Mytilus edulis: one gene and its partners. The protein of the gene in region 3 interacts with the protein of the main gene of each other region in a pairwise test. Links are inferred from orthologs where the notes say so. Each region holds a gene or a part of one and is shown on either strand. Other genes may lie near its edges.

Region 1 (3,761 bases), on a different chromosome or scaffold from region 3:
AACCTATGAATGAATTAAGAATAATAGTAAATACCCAAAGCCTTTACCTTTAATAATTAGGAGGTAGTCTTTACCCCCATTTACATTTGGTTGTTAAAACGACTTTTTACAGTTTCCAATTTTGATCTACATGTACAAGAACTAGAAGGGCATTAAAGTTGTCATATTTTCTAAACAATACATTTTGAAACAGTTTATGGGCAATGAATTGTTAAATTGAACTTCCTGCTGTTAACAAAGTTCAGTTTGTGAAGTTCTAAAATAGGTATGGAAGGGTCATAAGGTTATACAGGAATAGTTGTTGCAATCACAACTACAGGAGAGTTTTTGGGCAAAAGGGTTAAATGATTTTTGAGGTATTACTTGCATATTTTTTAAAATTACTCTGGCTAAAATGGGAAAATAAATCTTGAATGTTGGGTATAGAGATATAAATGCTTTGAAATATTTAGCTGTATTAGTATCAAATAACCTTCTGATGTCAGGCAACCTCTTTTTAATTATAATGTAAAATATTTAAAATTATGACAATAGACCTGCTACAAATGCATATGTCAATCAAAATAAAAGGAAACATTGTATAATTGGTTCTTACTGTGATACATGAACATTGAGAAATATAAAATAAAGGACAAATGCACCACTTTGAGAGTCGATGTAAATTTTATGACAAGCTATAGTGAGAGCTCACAGTGTGCTTACATTTTTTATTTTAAAAAATTCACAAAAATTGGCCAGCGTTCATGACTGTCATATCATAGCATACATGCACTAAGAAGTATTTTCTGCTGGTTTAACATATGATTTGTCAGATAATGTAATCTTTGTGTAAACTAATGATTTCCTTACCCAACAACAAGTCTTTGGAATTTTTTCGTTGGTGGCTTTATGATTTTTTGCCAGGCGATGACAATTCTTGTTTCTGTTGGATTGACTACTTCTACCACTGTTGGGAACCATTTTGAATATAAAACAGCAAGAAAAATAACCACTAGAGCTACAGATAAAGTTTTGGGAAACATGATGCCAACTCAACATTCACTAACCGGTGCCCAACAACACCCCGCCGGAAAATAGAACACTAAAAGATAATCCGCTGGGAAATCGTATCTTGCCAATATTTAATACCATTTTTCATGAACTTTAAATCTCATTTTACAAGAAAATGACAAAAGAATTAAGATTTATTATAGTTCTAGAAAAATATGGATTGAGTTTTAATCTGAAAGTAGAAAAATTAACAAAAACTATTCACTTCCGGTAAAATTATTCCGCATAATTGTAAACATGACAGACGACGTGCTTAACCTTGAAGTTTGGAAAGGAAACTGGGATTTGCCATCAGTTGACAATGAATGTCTTACAGTTTGGGTAAGCAATTAGTTAATTTCTCCCCCTTCTATTTAACAACTTTGAAATAAGTCGATACACACCCTTGTAGTATTTGTTTATTGAACACAGTGCAGATTTGCAACTTTCTTGAACACATGTGTTTCACTGCGATACGGTTTCACTGACACTATGAAGCTACACTTCACTTAACATAGAAAATGAATTCGCTCTATATTAGCTGGCAAAGCTTCATGACTTCTTTATGTAAGTTTGTAGAGCAGTGGCAAATGTGCATATAAGGCACCAAATGAGGTTTTTAGTAGGATCGCATTTACAATGCATTGTCAACTGGGAATCCGGGTCTGTTCGCGCCCAATCACTTTCGCACCCAATCACTTTCGCACCCATTCACATTCGCCCCCTTTCACTTTCGCACCCCACATATTCGCACCCAAATTTTTAGAAAAAAACACAATCATACATCAGTCATATACACATATACAACAAAACATGAATATTCAAGTAACTATAACACAAGTTAATCAAAGTTTAAAAGTCTACTGTTGCGGAACATCTTCAGTTGGTTAGTCTAAACGCCCATACAGTCTGGAGATCACCTTAATGAAGTGTGTAGTTGACATTGCTATATCCATGTAAGAATCCCACAAGGTCTGTATCTTCTGTTCTAGTACATGTACTGTGTAGCGGCGGTGAACATTTCGCTCTAAGTCGACGGAACGCACACTGACATCAACAACCTCAGCTTCTTTCATCAAGTCGGAGACATTAACATTAACATTTAATAATTAATCATCAAATTAATAAAAAAAGATTCTATTCAATAATTTCTCAAATTTTATTCAAATAGAATACATTTATCATGTTTATTTGTTATATTCATATAAAAAATATCTAATAATTTAACTAAAATTTTAATACAAATTGGGCGTGAACGTGTAGGGTGCGAACGGACTTGGGTGGGGGGGCGAAAATGTGAGGTGTGAACGTGTAGGGTGCGAAAGTGTATTGGGCGCGAACAGACCTGATACCATCAACTGGTACAGTGGTACAAATGTACTAAGTTGTGGGTTCCATGATGTACGTTCCAGACCAAGTCATAATTTACAGCCCCAAATATCTTAGGCAGATGCAGCCCCTATTAGGAATGATAAACATGCAGGTTGCTGTTCATTATACTTAGTATTCATATAATTGTGAATGAGTTTTGATATATATGTATGTAATAAAAATTACCGGTAAATGAATGAATGAATACTTTATTTGCAAGAAGCATATATACATACTATGGCAAATGTAAATATAAATGAATGTATTCTGAGTTTCATTAATTCATCAGTAAATAATGCCTTTCTGTTTATTTGCAGGCATATTGTAAATTTTCTGGTCTTCCAACTAAAGTACAGAAAAGTCACCAGACAAATTTATTTCAGTCATCACTAGGTTTGTATTAAGTTAACAATTATACATAGTATTTGTACAAAGATGATATGAGTTACGATGTAGTTAATGTGACTTTATTGAAATCTGTATATTTTGGATCACAATCAAAGTACATGACATATTTTTTCTGTCTTTTAAAATTACTATGTGTTTTTTTTTGTGTATTTTATGATCGGGTTTGGAAAGAAGATTTTTTTTTCTTCATTATTTTTCTGATTGCATTCTATCAATTTTATGCAAAATCTTTGTAAGCATTTCAGGCTCCTTAATTGTTTGTTATTGTTTCAGAGGAGATATATATCAAGCAAAGGGCAAACCTAAACATGATCTTGACCTCAATTTCAAGATATGTACCAAAAAATATAAAATAAAAAATTCTATGTCTAAATGACAAATGGTTTATGTTATATGGTCCGAGACCACAATTGTCGTCCCTTGTTTTTCGTTGTTCACGAATATAGTCCCTAGTGTTGACAGTGGGTTACTTGCCATTAATTTTTATACCCCTTCCAAATTTTATTTCTCCATATTTATTGCCTCAAATTGCAAGTATGGGGGTGAAATTACACTGTAAAAACATTTGGGTCCAGAATTTTAAAGGAAAGTAGTGATTTGGTCCAGCTGAAAAAGGTTGAAAATTAGCACTTCGGAAGCTGTCAAAAGATTTCAAGACGCCCTAAACATAAAATTGTCCATATTTTGAGTTAGAGCCGATGAAGTTTTCTATAATTTTGATATAATTTGTCCCAAAAGTAGTACAACACACTGTAAAAGTTTCTTTGAGAAAGCGCAGGTGGGATTTTTTTAATTTTCATTTATGTTCTAAAAGAAATGCACTACGAAATAATTGTGTTCTCGGACCATATCAATAATGAACATACCGTATTTAGCGTAGAAGGGGAGATAACAACTGTAAGAAGTCAAATTTGATCAAATTAATGATTTCAACAATAAAAAAAAGTTGTTTA
Region 2 (3,761 bases), on a different chromosome or scaffold from region 3:
CCTCCTACATATAACCTTCCATGCTTTACTGTTGCCCATTCACACTTAAATCCTGAAAGATAAATAGCAGAAATAAAAAAAATTTTGTTCATGTTTCTTTTTATCTAATTGTAGAACATGCATGATATTTGCAAGTACATGTGTCTACTCAGGCCTAAATTAATATTTTGTTTGTTTCCCCAATCCTGACCCTGCCAAGCAAGATGTGGGTAGGTAGGTAGGTAAATAATTTTATTTTTGTCCAAAAAGCTTGAACAATATCAGACGATGTGGCAAGCCTGAAAATCATAAATGAATAAAATAATTTTCGACTTAGTTTTGACAATAAAATTTCATGAGTAGCCCTGTTTTTGCAGGGTCGGTTGGGATTGGGGAAACAAACAATATTTTGTTTTAGGCCTCACCATCACACAGGGCCTTTTAACAGCATTGTAATGGGTTGCTATAACTTCAAGAAAACAAGGTGGTGCATTGGTAACTTCCCTGTTTAACAGGTAAAAACAGTTCAATATAGCCCAAGAAAGCTTCCATGTACATGTACAATGTATATGAAATATGCATGGATAATTCTGCATAGTACAATATAAATGTATGTCTACTATTACATTTTTCACTTTTACGGTTTTATGTACCTCTAAAAAAATACTTTAACAAGAGACTTTGCAAAATCTGGTTAATATCCAATTATCATTCTGTAGGTATATTCTTTTCAAATTTGGAAGACAGGTAACATTTCTAAACATAAACGAACATCAAATTAAAACATTTATTTTGTAATTACAGCAAGCTTGTTTCTTACTTTATTTTGAATTGTTTTAGGATCAGATAATCTGATCAATTCAATTAATAACGTGCATAAATTTATTTTGTGTGTTAATTTGAACTATATTTATCTATTTGTTAATTTTTTATTTTTTTAAATAATGATACACAATGTACAGTGCATCATAAGCCTATTTGACTGGCTGAAAATTACTTGTATATATGAATGTAATTGTTTGTTATAATTCAGGTTGCACTTTAATATTAAAATATTCATTCATTCATTCATATAAATAAATAGATACATTATGGTGTGTACAGTGTTTTTCTTAAGGTGTTCATTGATGTTTAGCTGTACACGTGTTAGGTGGTAAAAAAATCAAGCAGTTTGAAAGACATTGTACATTTGGATACACCTTTATATTGCTATTTGATCACCATAACTGGACATTGCAAAGGCTCCTGTAAAATGTTGACGTCACAATAGAAAATATATATCACCACAATGGAAAAGTGATTTTTGTTTGATGTCCAATTTCTCAGGTCAAGCAGAACAGATTTCCAAATTACAATAAGGTGTATTGACCAGGACTCATATTTTTATTATAGTAGCAGATTTTTATGATGTTCTTCAATTACCATGATACATAGGAAGTTTTAAATTGATTTTTTTTTAAACCGAGGCTTTTCTTTAGTTAACTTAGGGTCTTTACTGATTCAAATCATACTAACAAAATTGTTCACTGATTTCTAGTAAGATAAGTTCTTTTTATACCATGTACAGTGGCAGATCCAGAATTTTTCATAAGTTCGAAGCGGGCCCCCTCTTAGGCAGTCAGTGGGCCCACTTCGGTCACGATTCAGTGATTCCCTATATAAGCAACCAACTTTTCCCCAGAAAAGCCCCCCCCCCTAAATCCGCCTCTGATGTATACAGGTCAGACAGGTCCATACAATGTATATAAGTGTAATTATCAATTACCCTTGTGACTTGTTCCATTGCCATCCACCAGTAAAACCCATGGATAAACAGCATTGTTTTTAATGAAATAAATTATGCCAGTTCTATCATCAACAGAATAAAGATTTCCATTATATACCACAAGCTCAGATAACTCCATTCCTCTACCACCCTGTGACAAACTTGAAGACAGTGTTACTGGTATTTTATCCAGTTTAACTGTAACTTTACTATGGTCACTTGATAATGTTAAATTTCCTGTCTGTAAATAACTTAGCCAAGTATTCGCTTTCTTTTTACTTTTAGATTCTGTATCTAAATCTGTGACCATAGCAATTTTGTATGTTAACCCATAGTCAGTAATGTAGGGTTTTGATAGAGGATATCTATTATCATATTCTACTGAACAGTCACATTTCTCTTTGGAACTATTTTGTGGTAAAATGTTGACAATTAAGATTAAAAAGGCAACAAAAAACAGCATGAAGTATGCAACGGTTCTGGTTTTCAAATGAAGTTTGGCATTTCCAACTCTATAAGGTGTTGGTCGACGTATTGCTTGCATCCAATCGTGTACAGTTGACGGACTTGATAGCATTTTGATCCATCTGGTGAGTGTTCATTCCTAAATTTTAATGTTTTTTAAAACACCTCTATCCGACGTGGCTAAAAGATGTCCATAGTAATTAGGTAAACAACCGAAGTGTTCCAAAATATCAAAAATCATAATCTTCAAAACGTTTAAAAATTAAGGAAGAAACAAAATTAAAGAGTAGGGTCCGAACAAATAAGAATAAAAAATTACCACTCTATTGCAAACAAATTGTTAAAGTGCTAATTTACTTCGTTCTAGTAACAATTGTACTTTTATTGAGAAGTGATTACTGTATTTGATTTCTTTATAAATCATCCAAAAAAACAGAGTAAAACAAATGTTCACTTGTGGAATAAACCGGGATCGTCTGTTTTAATTTAGGTTATTTTTGAAAGCGTCCATACGATGAAATATCGAGAAGTTCCGGTTTTCTGTGCACGTTGTTTTTGTTGACTGTAATCTGGCATTTATTTAAAGTTTTTGACTGCCTTAAATATGAGCCTAGGAGTGAAGAAAACCGAGGTATATGATACAAGATGTTGAAAATTTATTGTTTTCAAATCCCCATTTTCAAGTCCAACCATTATCCCTGTAAATTGCACTTTTTTAGTTTTAATTTAATAAGTTTTATAGTTACTTCAAAATGTTGATAGTTTTTATACCAAAAGAAGAAGATTCTGAAACCGTGTTCATTCTCCCACCGGGTCCATTCGCCCACATTGTCATTTTGTTTTCGTTGTATTATCGAATGTAAATTACATTTAATATTATGAGGTTGGACCTTTCTGTTTTGTGAATTGTCCAATCCTCAATCTGAGATAATTTGCTTTGACCTGAAATGACTGTTTTGCTAGAATCTGGGTCCGTTCGCACCCTACATGTTCGTACCTAATTTTAATTGGTTTTGTGTTTAATAACTATAGCTTTGTGTAATGGTGGTCGCTTTCGCTAGATGTCTTCTTTATTCATATAATATCATTCTACGCATATTTATTTATCTTCATTGTATTTATATAGTTTCCCATGGGCGCAGCCATTTTTATTAGGGATTCGCCGGTCCACTTCCTGTGGCCCGGCCGGGACATTTTAGGGTTTAATATAAGTACTCTGATCCCGGTGACCGGCAGTTCCGAACCCGGTAGCAGACGATACACCAGTGAAAACTATTACAGAAGCAACAATATAAACACTTAGTTTATAAGGTAACCAGCTAAGCATATTTAAGCTATTTAACGCACCACCATGCACTCCCGTAAACTTGTATGCTTTAATTATAGTGTATTACAAATGTTCCATTTGTAGAATGTCAAATAAATCATCATTGCAACTTTAACGGTTTGATTCTTTAAAATCAGAGAACTCGGGAATAGTGATTCCCATGACATTCTAGAAATTTTGGACCGGAGGATAAATATGTTGAGCAAAAAAGTTCAACACCGTATA
Region 3 (3,761 bases):
ATCTTTTTTCCTTACATAAAGGACACAACAACATTCAGAAACATTTAAAAAAAACCATCATATCTTATTAAATATGCTCAAGGAAGCATAAATATGTTGAATTGGGTTTATACCACTGTGATGCTGAACAAAAGAAGGAAAACATTCTTCCTCTTTTGGATTTTTATTAAAAGGAGGAAATCTTCTACATGATTTTAGAATTTATTTTTTTCCAGATTTTTCAATAAATCATAAATATGCCATATCAATTCTATCAAATTTGGATATAATAACTTCAAAAAGGAGCACATGATTTCCTGCAAATTTGAAAGAGATTACCGATTTTATGACAAAATGTATGACGAAAATTAGAACAAACATAAAATTTAATCTGCTTTAAAAAAAAAATCACATTTTCTTTCTGATTTTTTTCTAAAGCAACATAACTTAATAGCATATGGTTTCAAGCAAATTTGTATCAAAGTTCCCTAAAATAAGCATACCATTTCCTTGAAATGTTTATCAGCAAACAGAAAATAATGATCATGATGAAGAGAGGTAAAACAAACCAGAATTTAAAACTGGTCTATGTCAGACCTATCACTTTGTATATACTGAGACACATATTTGTATCCAAGGAAATAAATGTATGATTAAGAAAAAATTAAATCCATTTGTTTCTTACATCTGTTTCTAGAAATTGTTTTTTCCCTTTATAAAAATAAAAATCATGGTCATGATGGCTTTGTCCCAACTGGCAGTGTCACTTTACTGTGTGGCCAAAATGCTCTACATCGATCAAAATTTCTTTACTTGCGTAAGCTATAATTTCAAAGTCATTAAACTAGTTAGTTGGGTATTAAGGATCACTCTTGTTAGATGTCCCTGTCTAGCCAAGTTCTAGGATATAGAACTAACTATATAAATGTGTTAACAAGATGTTTATTTAAAAATTCATATACAGTGGTTGCATTGCTGGTCCACTCTCCTTTGTAACAATTCCTTAAGTGTGAGCCAAAGTCATCTCACTTCAAATTGTACATGTTGTAGCGTTAGACTGCTCTAAAACTGGCAAGTGATGTCATATTTATAGTTCCAATAGACCACCAACCCAGCCAGAATGTCACTGCAATAAAGGGGAAGTAACCTGACAAGAAATTATATGTACATGGCTGGTATTAGGAGAAATACTTAAATAGTTATGAAACTATTAAAATTACTAATAGTAATGAGTTCGTGGTCTAGTGGTTAAGAACCGATGGCTACAGTGCTGAAGGTCCCGAGTTCGATTCTCACTGGGGGTGCTAAAAATATCAGTACATCAGAAGGGTAATTTTCACCCTTTCACACACATCTCTGGTACCCAGACCGGAGTTTAAAACTAGAATGGGTACTTTGGGGGCCTCGGTTGGTCAAAGTTTTCCCCTACTTTGACCTGGAGATCAATCTTCTGATATCTCTCTGGTTTGTCTGTTTCCACCGAGTGGCCCAGTGGTTTTTCTCAGAGTACTTCGGCTTCCTCCACCATAATAACAGACTTCCCAGTGTCCTAACACTCCCTTTGTGTTTGGTTGGGATTGATTGTCCTTGTAAAAATAATGTTCGTATAAATATATATTAGTGACACATCTCCATTAATTCCGATAGGGAGTGTACATGGATGCCTCTGTACCCTCGCAGCTTTCGAGGGGTTCTTCGGATATTTGAGGCATTTACCAGTACATACATACATACATAAAATTGAGAATGGAAATGGGGAATGTGTCAAAGAGACAACAACCCGACCAAATAAAAAACGAATGTAGGACAGAAAGTCACAGGACAAAAAGTCACAGACAAAAAGTCACGGACAAAAAGTCACAGGACAAAAAGTCACAATTCATTTTTTTTTGACTTTTTTTCTTTGAATAAAAAACGCTTATTTCTAAAAAATATTTTTGTATTTCTCTTGAACTATTGTATAAAATCTAACTTTGTAAACAAAATTTATCCAAAAAATATCAAAGTAAATCAAATAATTGTGGTAAGAAAACAAAATGTCAAAGTGGCTCAGCTCTTAAATGGCTTCATAATGCCAAGAAATCTTTCTTTTACATGATTAAAATTAAATAAATCTTCATTTTTCAAGTATAATGACACATTTCCTAAACTTTAATATGTATATATGTATTAAAAAGTAAATATTTCAAGATATTTCTCCTATATATTCAAACAATTGTCAACATATTATTTGTGACTTTTTGTCCTGTGACTTTTTGTCCTACCAAATTTGTGACTTTATGTCCTGTGACTTTTTGTCCTGTGACTTTCTGTCCGTTTACCTAAAAAAAACAACAGCAGAGGGTCACCAACAGGTCTTCAATGTAGCTAGAAATTCCCACATACATATTAACTTTAACCAATTTCCCATATAAATCGAATACAACAAGTAAACAAAGTTAAGAACCAGTGAGGACGAATTGTACTGGCAGAATCGACCTGGGGCCGACCTGGTTGTGGGGACGAAACGACTCGAAAGCATTTTGGTCATATTTTAGTTTTATTTCAACGACACAACGGTGTTGAGTCTTGAGATAAACCGTCTTTTTTCATGTTTTCTTGCATCTGAACGACAATCAACAGAAATTTTAAGACACTATAACAAAACATACTTCAAATAGACACGATCTAAATTGACAGTAACCTTTTGCTGATCGTGTGAAATGCAAAGATTCGAAGTTCGAAGTTCCTTGCTTTCAACGTCGCCGGAAGCAATTTTAACAAATGCCGTAAAAGAACACGTTAAAACGACATTCTTTCATATAACTTATAAATGCAGCATTTGTGTTTCATTTTAAGGATTTTGATTTTCTTATAATTTAATTGCATACCAGATATATAAAAGCAGGATAATGCACAATTACGTCAAAATACCAATTACGACATTAAAGGAAGGTCTGGTACAATTACTGTTTTTCGTAGCTCGCAATACAAATTTTTTACTAAATATACCAAACCAGATTAGGCGTCCATTTTTATCAATTTTGGAAACGTTTTCTACTCCAGCTGAGAATATACTGTTGAAAAAACTGTGACGATGGCGGGGAAAGACGACCGGATAACCACAAAGGTTATCCAGGTCGCTAACATTGCCCAGAACGCATCAAAAGATCAAATGAAGACATTATTTGCATACATCGGGCGAATAGACGATCTTAAAATGTATCCCACCATTGAGTAAGAATAAATAAATATTAACATATGTATCCATTGTAACACAGGTACTTGTTTCTATCATTGGGGGGATAGTGGAAATTACCATGGATAGAAACGAGTGACTGTGTAATTAATAGTTTCAGCTCAACACAATTTGAGCAAGATATACTTCTTCTACTTTTACCATATAGTGACCGCCTTCAACAAATTGAAGATTATGTCACAGGAGGAAACTTACAACAAGACATATATTTCACGTTCTCATTATAAATATAATATAAAGAGGCCCATAACTTGCATAAGCACAAATTTCTTCGTAAATTAGCCAAATTGTATATGTCATACTGACTGCTAGACTTTTTTTGAAAAGTTGTTACATGAATGCAATGTTATTCTGTGTAGGCCAAAACATGAACTCAACTTGAGGCCAAGGGAGAGGGTAATTGATACCAGAGGGACATTCAAACTCATAGGTCAAAAATAAACTGACAACGCCATGGCTAAAAAACAAAAATACAAACACAAATAACAGTACAGAAGACATTACATAGTAAACTAAAGACAAAGCATCACAAACCCCACCATGG

Evidence for each region.
Region 1: the proteins of small glutamine-rich tetratricopeptide repeat-containing protein beta-like (region 3) and metaxin-1-like interact in a two-hybrid assay, tested with the Caenorhabditis elegans proteins (2 studies listed by BioGRID). The link is inferred for Mytilus edulis from reciprocal best matches to the Caenorhabditis elegans genes sgt-1 and mtx-1.
Region 2: the proteins of small glutamine-rich tetratricopeptide repeat-containing protein beta-like (region 3) and soluble calcium-activated nucleotidase 1-like interact in a two-hybrid assay, tested with the Caenorhabditis elegans proteins (2 studies listed by BioGRID). The link is inferred for Mytilus edulis from reciprocal best matches to the Caenorhabditis elegans genes sgt-1 and apy-1.

Annotation. Positions count from the first base shown.
Region 1 is NC_092347.1:61,937,230-61,940,990, forward strand, and holds the start of metaxin-1-like, read left to right. Parts: upstream 1-1,242; 5' UTR 1,243-1,287; coding exon 1,288-1,371; intron 1,372-2,717; coding exon 2,718-2,793; intron 2,794-3,761. Other genes in the region: ADP-dependent glucokinase-like, read right to left, coding at 850-1,022.
Region 2 is NC_092352.1:32,466,980-32,470,740, reverse strand, and holds the start of soluble calcium-activated nucleotidase 1-like, read right to left. Parts: upstream 2,439-3,761; 5' UTR 2,322-2,438; coding exon 1,745-2,321; intron 53-1,744; coding exon 1-52. Other genes in the region: ribosomal L1 domain-containing protein 1-like, read left to right, coding at 2,814-2,840. UniProt on the Caenorhabditis elegans protein: Hydrolyzes UDP and to a lesser extent GDP. By preventing the accumulation of NDP, may promote the reglucosylation of incompletely folded glycoproteins in the endoplasmic reticulum following the unfolded protein response.
Region 3 is NC_092344.1:72,092,246-72,096,006, reverse strand, and holds the start of small glutamine-rich tetratricopeptide repeat-containing protein beta-like, read right to left. Parts: upstream 2,758-3,761; 5' UTR 2,663-2,757; exon of another isoform or gene 2,631-2,662; intron 1-2,630. Other genes in the region: probable splicing factor, arginine/serine-rich 7, read left to right, coding at 3,056-3,195.